2 linked regions of the Tamandua tetradactyla genome follow. The protein of the gene in region 1 purifies or fractionates together with the protein of each later gene. This does not show direct contact. Links are inferred from orthologs where the notes say so. Each region holds a gene or a part of one and is shown on either strand. Other genes may lie near its edges.

The links.
Region 2: the proteins of ATP2B4 (region 1) and NPTN purify together in Homo sapiens (co-immunoprecipitation; 3 studies listed by BioGRID and IntAct, with this or other methods). This does not show direct contact. The link is inferred for Tamandua tetradactyla from reciprocal best matches to the Homo sapiens genes ATP2B4 and NPTN.

What each region holds. Positions count from the first base shown.
Region 1 is NC_135330.1:60,979,710-60,986,573, forward strand, and holds the start of ATP2B4 (plasma membrane calcium-transporting ATPase 4), read left to right. Parts: upstream 1-3,862; 5' UTR 3,863-4,298; intron 4,299-4,882; exon of another isoform or gene 4,883-5,158; intron 5,159-5,927; exon of another isoform or gene 5,928-6,028; intron 6,029-6,864. UniProt on the Homo sapiens protein: Calcium/calmodulin-regulated and magnesium-dependent enzyme that catalyzes the hydrolysis of ATP coupled with the transport of calcium out of the cell. By regulating sperm cell calcium homeostasis, may play a role in sperm motility.
Region 2 is NC_135338.1:68,391,045-68,398,695, forward strand, and holds the start of NPTN (neuroplastin), read left to right. Parts: upstream 1-4,649; 5' UTR 4,650-4,796; coding exon 4,797-4,887; intron 4,888-7,651. UniProt on the Homo sapiens protein: Probable homophilic and heterophilic cell adhesion molecule involved in long term potentiation at hippocampal excitatory synapses through activation of p38MAPK. May also regulate neurite outgrowth by activating the FGFR1 signaling pathway.

The DNA.
Region 1 (6,864 bases):
TTTATTTTTTAACATGTAGTACCCGCACATGGTAGGCCTTACAAATACGTTTAAAAAAATAACACCTTCTGTAAGTGGTTAATTCTTCTATGAACATGTCTGTGCCCCGCCCCTCCAACTAGGCTATAAGCTCTATTTTTCTCTGCACTTCGTGTGGGCCCAGCCAAGGTGGAAACAGTAGACATTTGATGAATGCATACTGAATTAAATAGGTATGCAGTAATACTTGTTGAATGAATAAACTAAACTTCTAAAATAAATACTAAAGTGGGTGTGCCAACTCAAAAAGAGGAGGTAATGGTGACATTTCTGCTTTACTTAGTACAAGTGACCCCAAAAAAACAATTTAATCCAGTTTATGCTTGCATAGTGAGTCATGTAACCAATTCACAGGAAGGGCAAGGGTACAGTAGGATATCAGGAACAATTTGAACCCAGATTCAATTTCTGCCAAGGCTCTTCAGCTGTCTTCTCTGTCTCTCTCTGCCTTTAAGCATCATTCTTTCCTACTGCTGGATGTCTTCTTTCACATGACAGGGCACACGGCCATAACTTCACTTCTCGCAGTGCTCACTTTTGGAGGGCTCCAACCAAGCCTTGCTCTCTCTTTGGTATTAAGTTAAAAAATTTCAGGAAAAAAATTGTTCTTGGTTAGGGTCAGGCAAAGTGTGATCTCTAATAAAATAGCAATTCCCATGTTATCAGATTAGAAAGAGCAACTAAAGAACTGGGTAGGGGTGTGGGGAGGGTGGTTGCCGTTCTGGCCAGACAGAACAACAGACACCCACAATAGGGAGTAATGTCATTTGCATTCAGGGAAGGTGGGCCATGGGACTTAGCAGAAATGGCCCAGCAGTATCTTGAGCCCTGCTCTGGGGAGGCTCTGAATCTGGCTGAGGACAGCTGGCTAAGTTAAAGAAGCAGAGTACCTGTTAAGTCAAGAGGACTTTGACAGCACTAAGAGACAAGTAGGGCTGCTGGTGGGCTGCGGAGTGCCCAGCCAGAAGCAAGCCAGCAATGAACTTCTGATGCCAGAGGCAGTGCCTTCCCTCTGGGGAGACAGCTCTACTTTCCCACAGTTAGTGCTTATATTATATTTACGGATAGGTTTATTTTTACCCATTCCAGACCTCAAGCCCCAAACCTACTGCTGGAAGAAACAGGCACTGAGGCTTCTGGGTTTCCAAAAAGCACAGGCTTCAGTGTCTGGCCCAGTGCCAGAGACCCAGCTGCGGTTAGTCCTGTAGTCATCTAGACCGACCCACCTCTCACATCGCTCTCTCCTGTCTACAAGGGAGGTAGGGATGGAGGTGAAGGAAATTGTCCTTTGCCCATCCCACAATCACCCCGCCAGTGAAAGGTTAGCACTGGGCTCTGAGAGGAGGGCCCTGACAGTTACGGTAGAAGTCATATCCTGGCCTGCCCATGAACTGTGGCCGGCAGGAGGGGGAAACACGTCAAAGCCCTCTTGCAACAGCTTCTCCCCTGCAGGGCTGGTTCCCTAGAACCAAGGGACAAAGGAGAGGATTTTGTCTTTCAAATCAGCAGCTAGGAACTGGCATAAGTTTTTAGCCCCCATATGCCAGGCAGCCAAAATAGACTTCTCCTTTAGTGGGACCACACATCTGGCCTAAATTGTTATTCCTCCAAGACAATTTATCGAACAGTTAGGCACTGTATTCATGCACAGCCACTGCAGACAAGCTTAAAATATACGTTAAGACATTAGAGCCATTTCAGAGACTGGCTTTCTCATGATAAAGATGCAACTGACATTCATCAGGTACTAAAATGTCAAGTTGTTGCAATCCAGTAGGAAGCCCAACAAGCCATTAAATTTGAAGTTCTGTTCGACTGATTCCTTTCCGTTCATTCCAATGCTTCCCCAACAGCTGATTTTGACTTCTGAAGCTGACATTTTGGTAGAACCTAACAAAATCTCACAGGGCCCCCTGTCTTTCTGAGCCATCATTAAAATGGGGAGAACTCCTAAGGCCAGAGACCAAGCTCTTGAAATGCCCGAGGGATTGGACCAAAGAATTTGAGAGAGGAGTGGTGCAAATGAGAACAAACCTTTCATGTCCCCCAAGTTTCTGGGTGAGGACTTCAAACCCCCTAAGGAGGATTACTTGGAGAATAATTCATGGATGAATCCCATCCCCTCCACCCCTACCTTCCTTCATCAGGACTGGGCTGGGGAAGAGAGACAAGCCCAGGCAGGAGCTTATTTTAGTTCTGCTTCCCAAGGTATTGATTCAGGCAATCTCAAGTACCACATTAGGGAGCTCAGGTCTGAGCTTGGCACAACCAGGCTAAAAAAATTAGTTTTTTTTTTTTTTCTTTTTTCTTTTTGGTCTGTTTAACTTGCCTTAGCTCAGAAATAGGATGTGGACGAGTTATTGAGAAATAGTAGGATAGAAGATAAAGAGAGGAAAGAAAGGCCTCAAATGTTAGGTAATCAGGAAGGCTGCTAATGGGCATAGGGTATCCAGACCACTGGATGGTATTCACAGCTCTTTTTCTCCATGTGCAAAATGAACCCTCCAGAAGGTTCTGTGTTCTGGGGAAGCAAAGGAGGACAGGTGTGGTGGTGGTGTTGGGTTAGGATCAGAGAGGCCTTTTCCCAAACCCCTGTTAAGAAGGTTGGGAAATTGTGGTTGGTCACCTTCTTCACAGCAGAATTGGCAGCTATAAGCTATGTCATGTATGCTTAACTGCCTCCCATAAGCACATAAATAGGATTGCATGTGTGTGCCGTGGTGGGTGTGGGAATATATCAGTCAATGAAGATGCATTGTGTGAACCAGTTGATGGTGCGTGTTTATACTTGAAAGCTGTAAGGTTCTATGCAAAATCTATGGGTGGCACTGTTGCACAATGCTGGTGGGTGTGTGGCTGCGGGGGTGTGATTAACAGTTTATTGGCTGTGTAGAAGTGTGCATGGACAACTGCAAATTAAAGCGTGTATGCATGTGCATGGAGTGTGTGCAAATTAAAAGGGAAATGTATGCCAGACTATGATACAAGTGCTAGAAAACACTTGGGCTTTGGAGTCAACCTGACTTGGCCTTGAATCCTGGCTCTATCATTAACCAGAAGCATAACCTTGGAAAAATCACAGGATCTTCAGTTGCCTTGCCTATGAAATGAGGATAATAGTAAGTACCTTTCAAGATTGCCTTGAGAATTAGGAATAATACCTTGAATGCAAAGTTTCTGGGGTCAGAGCTGTCAAGTAGCAGGATTCAAGAATAGGTAGCTATCATGTACTGTGTATGCACCTCTGGTAGGTGCAGAGGCAGTTGGGAGGAAAATGTGCCCCAGAAATGTGTGTGTGAAATCTGGGTGAGGAAGTGCATACTAAAAGTTGGGTGTACAAAACTGTATTATGTTTGCATGTATCCAAACATTCCTTCTCCTTTCCCATTGAGCCCCATATCCAGACAGGGGCAGTAGGGTGGGAGCGGATGGTACAAGTCTCTGTAGGCCCCTTGGGTTTCGGAGTTTCTGGGTCCTGGGTCTAACCAAGTAAGAGGTTGAGAAGCTGGTAGGAGCAGCAGGAAGCCAAACGTCTGCAGATGCTTCCTTTTTTTTCCCTCCACCCAGCAACGGTTGAATAGCCACCCACATTCTCTCCGCTTCCCCCCCCCCCCCCACCTCCGCTTTCCTTTCAACAAGTGAGAGCAAGGGTGGGAGGAAACTCGAGGGAGGAGAGGATTCCTTCCCTTTCTTTCCCCATTCCCCCTTAAGACAAACCAGGAAGCAGCTGCAGCTCAGAACCAGGCCACCTTAACAGTAGAGTAATGGTCTGGCCTCTCGCCAAGTCCCACCTCTGTTCCAGCCTCTGCTCCTCCCCCTTCTCCTCCCTCGCTGCTCCCGGAGAGCTGGTGAGCAAGAGTCTGGACGGAGTTGGCAGGAGCTGTTGCCATGACACGCATTTTCTTAAGAAAGCTCTGCTGTTGAGACCATCCAAAGCTGGGTGGTGGTGGTGGTGGTGGGGCCCGAACTTCCTGGGGAACCATCCGTCCAAGGAGGGCAAGAGCAGACACCCGCCCAGCTCCCCAGCACCCGTTTTCTTCCAGGAATCTGAGAGGTCCTTCCCCTAGGCAGGGCCGGGGGAGGAGACCCAGCCCACTACCCGGCCCCGGTAGGGAAGGCGAGAAAGCAAAGCCAGCATCTCTAGGCTGGTTGCCAATTTGGGGAGGCCGGTGGGTGGTCACCTCCATCGTACCCCCGTCCATGGAAACCTGGAGGGAGAGTCTCGCTTGGAGAAACCTGGATCGTTGCTAGAAAGAGAGGTAGGCTTGCAGAGAATGAATTGACTGGTGACTTGTAAACTTTGTTTCTTTCCTCTCAATCTTTTAAAAAACTCCCTGAATTTCCTCTCCATAGTGTATTTTATGTGATTGGATTTGGAGATCTTGGAGTATTTGTGTAATGTGTTTGTGTGTGTGCACAGATTTGCTAAATATTTGTTTCCTAGACTTGGTTTGGGGAATCTATATAATCAAACAAGTGATTTTCTTTTTCTAGTTTTTGTCATTCCTGGACTGTGGGGGTAGGGAAATGGAGGGAACGTCTTTTCATACCCAAATTGAGCTCTTGGAAAAAGCATTTATTTTCTCCATCCATTCTTGCCTCCCCCCTCCCCCCTTGGCTTGGGAATGAGACGCAGAATGGAAAACTGTTGCAAAAATATTTTCCATGTCTGTTCCCTGTTCCCTTTCTCGAAAGCCCCAAAGAGAGATGGAAAAAAAAAAATGCAGAAGATTTTCAGCAGAAGGAGGAGCTGCAGTGGGGACCTGGAAAGGGGCATACTGGTGGGGGTGGGTGGGTGGGAGGTGGGGGCTAGGAGAAGTTGGGGTGGGGGGAGATAGAAAATGCACAAATTAAATTTGTTTGACTTTGCAGAGAAACCTCAGCAGTTTCTCTCTGCCTCTTGCAAAACATCCTTAGACTTCAAGTCTATAATTAGCTATGGAAAAAGCTGGGAGTTCCCTCGTACTGCTGTTGTTTGACTGTGTGTGAGCATCAGGAACCAACTGTGTGAGTGTCTCAGAAGGGCACCACCCCAAACAACTCAGTTCCCAAAGGGGAGAGAGGAGAAAGGGCTGAAGTTGTAAAGTTTGCTGTTTTAAGGCTGCTGATTGTGGGGCTGGTGAGTGTTGGGGGGTTGGGGGTTGGCAACAGGCGTCCTTGGGAGGGTCCCTGGAGCGTCATGGGCCGCTGCGTTTGTCTTGTTAAGGAACTAGAAATTAAGGCTGGGATTCTCCTTCCTGCTGTCCCTTCACACACACACACACTCACACACACTCACATACTTGGCTTGGGGTATGGGGGTCACTGGCATCCTCCCTGGGGTGAATCCAGTCCCATGCACTCCTCCTGCTGAGGAACCCCCGCTCCCCTCCAGCTGGGTATGGAGGGCACAGGAGGGGCTGCGGCCATCCTGGGAGTGGAGCGGGCACTCTGCTGGCCATAGGCGCCTCCCTCCTGGGCATTCCTGATAGGACTTACAATAACTTGCAGACATGATGCCAGCGCCTGCTGGCCTGGTCCGGGGAATGCCAGATGAAGAAATTAGGCGGGCACTCAACTGATGCTGGTGGGGGTGGGTGGTGGGTGGGAGGGGGGTGGTAAAATCCCATTCCACAGTGCCATCTCCAACCTAGGGTGGGGTGCCTGGCAGGGAGTCTTAAGATCCATTCCTCCGTCCCTCCGTGAGCCCCTCCTCGGAGCTGCCCTGTTCATGCCCTTCCTCATCTCTAGGCCCTGTTCTTGGAAGGAAGGGAAGATGTCAGGGGCATTCCAGGCTGGGACGGGCAGGGGAGGGAGGCCTGGGAGGAGGGAGGGCCCGGGTGGGGAGGCCTTAGGAGGAGGAAAGCTGGAGGGGCGGGGTAGCTTGGACCGATCGAGAGCCGGCTTACCCTTCCTGGCTGAAGGTGGTGGCATCACGCAGCTGACTCTGGCGGGCTGGTGGCATGGTGGCAGCAGGGTAAAAGGGTGCTTTGCGGGGTGGGTCCTGGAACTGAAGCAGACGAGTATGTAAGAGGCAGGCTGAGGGGAAGAGAGGAGGAAACACCTGCCCTTGCCCCAGTCGGAGAAACTGGGGAAGAAAGAAGCAAAGATTTTGAGGAAAGCTTAAATGGGGGACAGGAGAGCAGCAGGAACCAGTTTTCATTTGGAGGTGTTGGATGATTGATCGGACTGCACCCCGGGGCCAGATGATCTACGCTGCCTTCATTCTGATCAAAAGATGAGTGAGGCCTTCCTTGGGGAGAGGGTAGGCGGGGAAATCCATTCTTTGCTCCTCCTAGGGAGCCCCGTCCAACCTGCCACCATCTTGCAAAGGTACAACCCTGAAATCATGCTGTTACACCCCCACTTCTCACCCCCCCCCCCCCCCGCCCGTGTGCGCCCATCTTGGGGATCCAGAATCGCACCAGTCTGCAGCCTGAAAACAATACTCTGACTTGGGAGGTTGGATTCTGGTAGGTTAGTGGGACTTCTGCCAGAACCCAGCCCTGTGGAACAGGTCCTGAGTTAGTGCCCTGGGTGGGGGGGCTGCAGTGGAATTTGTGCTCCGCAGCCCCAGCCCTTTTCACCAGTGACTCCAAGCAGGATCAATACTGCAGCAAAACTGCGTCCCCTCCCCTCTCTGCCTCCCGCCCCCGCGTCAGCCTCTCCCGCAGCTGGGCGCCACACTCCCTGGCTCTGCCTTCATCTAACATACTCTGTTGGAGAAGGTGCTGAGAGCTGCAGAGCTAAAGTGTCTTGCTTCTCAGGTGGCTCAGAGCCCACTCAGTCACTTCCATTCCCATTTGCCACCTCTGTCCTCGGATTCAAGGTCAAGTAGGAAGAAGT
Region 2 (7,651 bases), on another chromosome or scaffold:
ATTTCTGTCACTCCAGAAGGATCCCTTTTGCCCCTTTCCAGTCAATTTTCTCCCCATTGATTTGATTTCCATCACTAAAGATTAGTTTTGCCTATTCTAGAACTTTATATAAATAGATTCATACTTTATATACTCTTTTTTCTGCCTCACTTCTTCTGCTCAGCGTTCTGGTGGAGATTCATCCATGTCGTTGCATTTATAAGTAGTTCATCTTTTTAAATTACCAAGTAGCATTCCATTGTATAAATATATCACAGTTTTTCCATTCACCTGTTAATGGATATTTGCATTGTTTTCTGTTTTGACTATTATGAATAAAGCAGTAAGAGCATTCTTGTACAAATCATTGAGTGAACATATGTTTTCATTTCTCTTGGGCACTGGGGATACAAGGGTAGAATTCCTGGGTCATTGGTTAGATGTATATTCAACTATAAGAAACTGACAAACAGTTCTTCAGAGTAGCTTTATCATTTTTATACACCTGTCAGCAGTATATCAGAGTTCCAGTCACTTCACATTATCACCAACATTTGGTATTGTCATTCTTTTTAATTTTATCAAATTAAATGCCTGTGGGTGAAATGATATCTCATTGTGATTTTAATTTGTATTTTAAAGAGGGATGATTTAATTCTGACATCTGAAGGATGAGAAGACCAGGTGAAGACGATAGGATGTTAAGCATTCTGGACAAAGAGAAGAGAATGTGCAAAGAAGGTAAGAAGTAATGGAGCAATCACAACAGACTGAAAAGGAGAGTCATCCACATTAAGGTTGGTGAGGGAATCAGTGAGAAGCACCAAACCATTCACCTTTGTGTGGATCTGGGCAATGGAAACACCAGTAGTAACCATTGTGAACTGAGGAGAGAGCCAGACCAAAATCATAATCATAATCATAATTATAAATAATAACAATATCCTGGGCTACATAGCCCCCAGGAGATTTAATTATCCTAGGAAGTGGGGAGGGAGGCTCATAATCATCAAAATTGAATTTCTTGTCATCTTAGTCAAAAGGAGCTCAAAATAGATTAAATCTGAGTTAGAGAAATAAAAGCAATGAGGCATTTCTTACATGCTTACCACATAAGAAAGTAAGAGTGCTGGGCAGTGTTGAGTAACCATCTGAGGTTTGAGATCATGAATTTAAAATTATAAGCCATTCAGCCTGCTTGTATGATTTTTTTCCGGCAACATTTAGCTGCTCAGGTGCAGGCATGCATTCTTTTTTCAGACTGTAGTCTCAGCCAGGTTGTGGTTTATTCAGGAAAGGACGGCAGAGATTGAGGTGGGAAAGGAAATGATTGTAACGATGAATCATGCACTATAAGACCAGGAGGGAAACAGAAAAACAGATAATGAGAAATTGATGGGATTAATGGATTGAAGATTTCAATGAGGTTGGAAATTTCAGCCGATGGGGTCCTGATGCAAGGACCTGAAAGAACAGGAAGTGGAAGATGGAGAGTGAGGTATTATATTTTCACATTTCAAGGACAGAAAGTTTTTTTTTTTGTTTGTTTTTTGTTTTTTGGTGATTCAAATGTTGAAGGGTGCAACCTTGTAAGTGGTGGCTCAGTTGAGGAGAAGGTTATTGGAAATGAGAAGGCCAAGGGATTGAGAGTCCAGAATACTGAATAGGTCATCAACATGGATGTTGAATTCATGTGTTGAGTTCAAGGATGGTGCTAAGGAGTTGGGAGAGGCAGGGAAACAATTATAGTGGCTGGGAAGCCAGAAGATGACAAAAATCAAGATGGTTTGGATGGTATATCTGAAGGACAAGAGCTTCAAAGAAGCAGGAATCTTTGCAGGAGACAGGGGGAAACATCAGGAAGTTCAAGGCCAACTCTACTGACACTATTATCATTTTGACTGATGTCCTTCCAATGGCTTGATGAACCACATCAAACCAACCTTGAATACTTTCCACTGGGAATGCGCTATTAAAGACCTTCCCACCAGGGGGCAGTATCACTGCTGGAAACCAGACCTCTAAGCAGTCCCAAGAGGCCAGGAAAGTGGGTGAGGCCTGAGCACTGAGGACCCCTAGGGCTTCTCTGAGGTATTACAAAGAGTTCAGCCATCTAGCATGGCTGCACTTAACTTGTAGAGAAATTTTTAAATGTATGTAATTTTTAAAAATCCAAATTCCTTTAAAGAAATTATTGAATTACTGCAAGATTTTAGTCAATCATGTATTTTCTCAACAAAAGGGAACTAAAAGTACAGCTGCTATTATGTGAGATATATTTCCATGGGTAAAACATAAAGTCTTCCTGTAACTGCAAGTTTCAGGGTTGACTGATGACACCTGGCTTAAAAATATTCCTTCTAAATCTATTTTTAGAAGAAGACTGAGCTAGTTGTATGAATACAGGGCTGGAGTTAGAACTACAACAGCAGCAGCAATAATATAGTATTTATCATCATCATCATCATCATCATCATCATCAATAACAACATTTGAACAATTACTATGCACCAGAAACTGTTCCAAACATTGTATATAAACTTACTCATTTATTCCATTTTTAATCCTATGACGTAGGTACTATTATTAGCCCATTCGATAGATGAGTAAATTAGGTCCAGAGGTATTGGGTTATTTGCTCAAGATCACAAAGCATTGGTGGCATTGGCTTGACTGCTATCTTTCCTCTAACCAGAATTGTTCAGGTTATGAAATAAGAACAAACACCCCTAAATCTTAGTAGCTTATCATGACACATGCTACCTGCTCAGCATGAGCTGGTACGGGGGCTCAGCTCATTATGCTAACTCAGAGACCCAGGCTGACATAAACTTCATTTTTTTTTTTTTTGACAGAAGCTTCATTTTGATACATACTTTCACCATCATGACCATTGATTACCAAGCAGTCAAAAGAGCATGCTGCAGCGACTGCACTGGAAATGAAATACTCCTGCTTATAAGGGTCACTTCTCACATTTCACTGATTGAAGCAAGTCACATGCCACTCCCAACTTTAAGGCGGCAGAGAAATACAATCCTACCATGAGCTTAGAAGGAGGAACCAGACAATTTGGCATTAATGATTACCACAAACACTCTGAGATTCTGAGCAGACCATGTCCTCTCTCAACTCCAATGTTCTTACCGACAAATTAAGCATAATTATCACTGCTTTGCTTATCCCTACACTTGTTGTAAGGATCAAATAAGGATGTTTCTATGGTTATTATGAAGCAGAATGGTTGCATCCAACCAAAACTTCTGTCAGATGAAAATCTTGGTCCCACCGAGGCAGCCCTGAAACCCCTCTTACTGGGGTATCTGTAGCACACCTTTGTCCAGACAGAAATACATGCCAACTTTTTTTGCCATTGAGTGTTTTGAAGAATATATAGTTTTCACTTCAATCAACAACACATCATTGTAGTTTCCGGCTCTTGCTACAAAGCTGCCACTGCCAGCTGTCCAGTTCCTGTTGAAAGCTGAGACCACTTTTGCCTGAGAGAGACTGCATGGGTGGGGTGAGCACTCCTTCCTCCAGGTTCTCCAAGCTCTTTCACAGAATCAAGTCAGATCACTAGGGCTGCTTACTTGGCTCCTCATAGTCTTCACTCCTTAGACACTCCCTAGTATGCCTGCTGAGTCAGGGATGAGCTACGCCACAGAAACTCCCTTGCCAACTAAGGGTTGACAGCGCTGAGGGTAGAACAAGAAATAACCACATGAAGAACATTTTCCAAACTATGGAGCAAAGAGTAGTGACTGCATTGGCAATCAACTTCCAGAATGCTTTGCTGGCTCCTTTCCAATGGGTCGTTTTGCTGAATACTGCTGTCATTTCCCCTTCCCGCACTCCTTTGATAGACTAGGCTGTGAACTGAGGGCAGGGACCATCTTTTCATTTGCGTTCCACCCAATAAACGTCCTTTGCATTAAAATGCTTCTGAAGATCCTTTACATAAGTTGATGTATGATAACTTCCTTGTAGAATTTAGTGTCTAAGGACGTGCAATTAGGCGAGTTGAACTGTCAAGGCGTCGGACCCTGAGATTATTTAAAGCTAAAATAAGGCCAAAATGGAGGAGCAAAGGGGAGGAGCAGAAAATGAGGACGTTTCAGGCAGAAGATGTGAAGGCAGTTAGTACAAGGTAATAACAGGCACAGGGAGTGCATCACTCTGCCTGAAGGGGAAAAATATGAGATGAGAAAGGGAGGTTGGGGCCAGATGCTCGTAGGGGCCTGTGGCCAGAAATAGTAAGGGACAATGAGAGGAAGGCATAAAAGAGGCGGCGGTGTATCAAATTTTGCAGCCAAGTGCTCTAACAAAAGGAAGGCAGGATGTGTGGAGGAAATATATCATGTTCCCAAAGCTTTGTTTTATTTATGTGCGATCCCGTTTCACAGAGGGGTAAACTGAACGCAAACTTATCCGCTCCCCGGTGTCAATGAGAGCCGGCGCCACCAGCCTCCCCCCATCACGTGGCCAGAAGCACCTTTGACACGTGACTTACCTCAGGCTAGGCCAATCAGCCTCTGCAGAGGCGGGGACGCGATGTCCCAGTGTTAGTCTAGGCCGTCTCATCTCGCGAGCCTTGGCGCCGTCGCTCTACATCCGCCCACGGCCCGGCACGAAGGTCTCGCGAGGCTTGGGCGCTGCGGCGGTAGGAGGAGGACGGGGAAGGACGGAGCCCAGCCACCTCTGCCTCCCTCGCTCACTCTCTCGCGCACTCGCCCGCCCCCTCCCTCCCTCCCCTCCCCTCCCCGGCCCAGGCTCCGGCCCGGACCCATTCGCTCTTTGGTCTTCTGCTAGGGAGGATGTCGGGCTCTTCGCCCTCCAGTGCCCTGGCCCTCTCGCTGTTGCTGGTGTCTGGCTCCCTCCTCCCAGGGCCAGGCGCCGCTCAGAATGGTGAGCTGGGCGCCGGGGGCGGGCCGGGCGGGGGCTGATGGGCGCCGGCGGCCGGAGAGGAGCCGATCCGGGATCCGCGAAAGTGCTGGAACGAGGGCAAGGGGGTGGAGTGGGGGGCGGTCGGAGCCTTAGGGACTGCGGGTCGGAGAAGAGGAGATGACGGTCGGGGTGTTGAAGAGGCACGGGTGTGTGGACAGGAGGCTCCTGTCCGAGAGGAGGGGGCGGCCGATGTGAGCCTAGTTGCTGACTTAGAGGCTCTCCGTCGTGGGGCTCCGCGTTCTGGGTCGGGAAAAGGACCCGGAAGAAGCCTGTGAGGAGCCGGAGTAGTGGGGGCGAATGAGGATGGGGCACAGCTTCTAAAGAAGGCTTCAGAATATAGGCGTTTGTATTTTAGGTGACGAAGGATGGGGTGGGCTCTCGGTCCGGCTCGCCTAGGGATCTACTGGGGCTCCGCTCCGTAAGACTGGTGACATCTTAAAAATAAAGGAGGAATTAGGGGAAGGGAGTTCTGAAGAATACCGGTGGGGAGCAGAGTACTTGAGCCCTAAGGAGGGAGTAGAGATTCGGGGACCTTGGATGTGGGGGCGGAGGGAAAGTGGGTGGAAAGCTAAGGGAATGGGTTGACTGCAGTAGGGAACCTGGAAAGAGCAGCCGTGGTTCTAAACGAGATGGGTGGGGGAGGGCTGGGTTTGCTAAGGAGGGTGGAGTGCTGGGCATTCTAGGGTAGTGGTTGGGAGAGCAAAAAGGGGTTTCTAAATAAGGAGAGGAAAAATGAGCAGAGGATGGGGAGAAAGGGTTGAAACTGAAGAAGGGGGGAATATTTATTAGAGAGCTAGGGGTGCCTGGTTACAGAAATGGGGCGGGGGAGAGAAAAAAAAAATAGGGGAAGGGAGTAAAATCCAGGAAGCTGGGGGTGTAATGTTAAGTTTGCAGGGTGGAGAATAACATTAGGGAAGGGAGGAGTTGGGTTGTGGCAACTGCTGTGTGATATTGGTTGGGCCCTTGGGAAGGCAGGGCCTCATAGCTGCAACTGCAGTAGTGGGATTGAAAGCAGTAACTGGAAGGGAGCTGGAGGAAGTGGGTTTTTAAGATCTACAAGGTTCAGGACAGAAGATATTATTTCTGAGGAACATGAAAGTAGTCCCTGAGATGTTTGTAGGATACGGTGGAAACAAGAGGATTGGTTTTGAAGTCTGAAGCCTCTTGGAGAAGATGGAGAAATGGTGGCGAATCATGATGGTGGGGGATGTAGACAAAACAGATTCTGCTTGAAGGCGTGTGTTAAAATTCAGCTGCGGAGTTAATCTTTCAGAGATGGGACAGAAGCATCAGGAACTTGTTTCTGCTCTTGTGGAAACAGTTTTTAAACTAAGATGTTATGAAAATATTTTTTTGCGAAAGAATGTATTAGAAGTCAATACTGCAGAGTGAACCATACATTTTTGCTAATCCTTCAATGTTTATTGTTTGCTAGAACAATTTAAAGTTACTATGTTAGAATAGCTGAAATTTAAATGACATTTTCTTTAAAAAGTCAGTGATAGAGCTTTTGGAGTTGAGTATTCTAAGAAGAAATTGGGCTTAAAGTGCTGGATTACGATGAAAATAAATCAATAAGGGATTGGAAAGGCATCTTTTGGTTAAATATAGATTTATTTACCGAACTCTACCGAATTGTACCAAATAGAACTCAGCAAATCTTATGTATGCTTCATGGCCTTGGATTATCACTGCAGGGGTCAGGAAGGAAACATTTTTCTGTCTGTTGCATTGCATATGCTAAGTATATTGGATAGTTTTCCTGATTTCCTCCATAGAGTTAGTCTGATTTGTCCTGTCAGTTTTAGTCTGTGTTAACAATATAACTTAAAGAAACCTAAAACTAATTTTACCTATTTGATTTGTGGAATGGCATGCTTTCATTTTGCACAATAGGTGTGAGTTCTTATCGTAACGTGTTAATCTCTGTGTTGGCATGGTCTTTTTCAAAGATTTGTAATACGGGGAAATTGTAGTTTCTTAGCAACAAAAGCAAGGTTTTTGGATGGGCCTACAAAGACTTTTTTGGCTGTTCTCAGTGATATGTGTTCTAAATAAAGTACAGTAACAGCCTTTTCCCTGATATGAACTTGAATTCAATCACGTGATGAAGTGAAGCTGCGCTGGTAGTTGACCCAAATGAATGTCAGTTAATTCGAGAAAGAAATGGCAACTTTTTGAGTTTAAGTTCATGTAGGTAAGAATACTGTTTTATAGCTTTCTTTTATAAGAGTCAAGCTTTCAGCTGATAATGGTCCTGCATTTTCTTATAGTGCTTCAGAAATGGATACCATGCTCTGTTTGTCACTGAAATGTTAGAAATGTTAGATTATCTATTTAAAGTGATCATTTGAAAAATAATTTAAGTGTTTCTGGATTGGGTATGTAGTAGTTTAGATTGAATATAGATTTCTTTCAAAAGGCCTTTGTTTCAGTATTCCTAAAATGAAGAATTTGGACTAGATGGCTTTCGAGATCCTTTCTAGCTCCCAAGTTCTGAGTCTGTGACCCATTACAATAAGGATTCAGAACTGTCCTTTGGATAGATTTGTTTCTCATCCAAAATTTAGACTTGAGACCACAGTTTCAAGTAAAGTCCTTATTGAAGGTGTTGATTTTTGTATGTATCAACAAAAATGTACTTCATTTTAAAGGAAGAAACCTGTCCTAAAAAATAACCTTCCTGACAAGATCGTCACATATTTTAGACTAAAACTGAATGTGC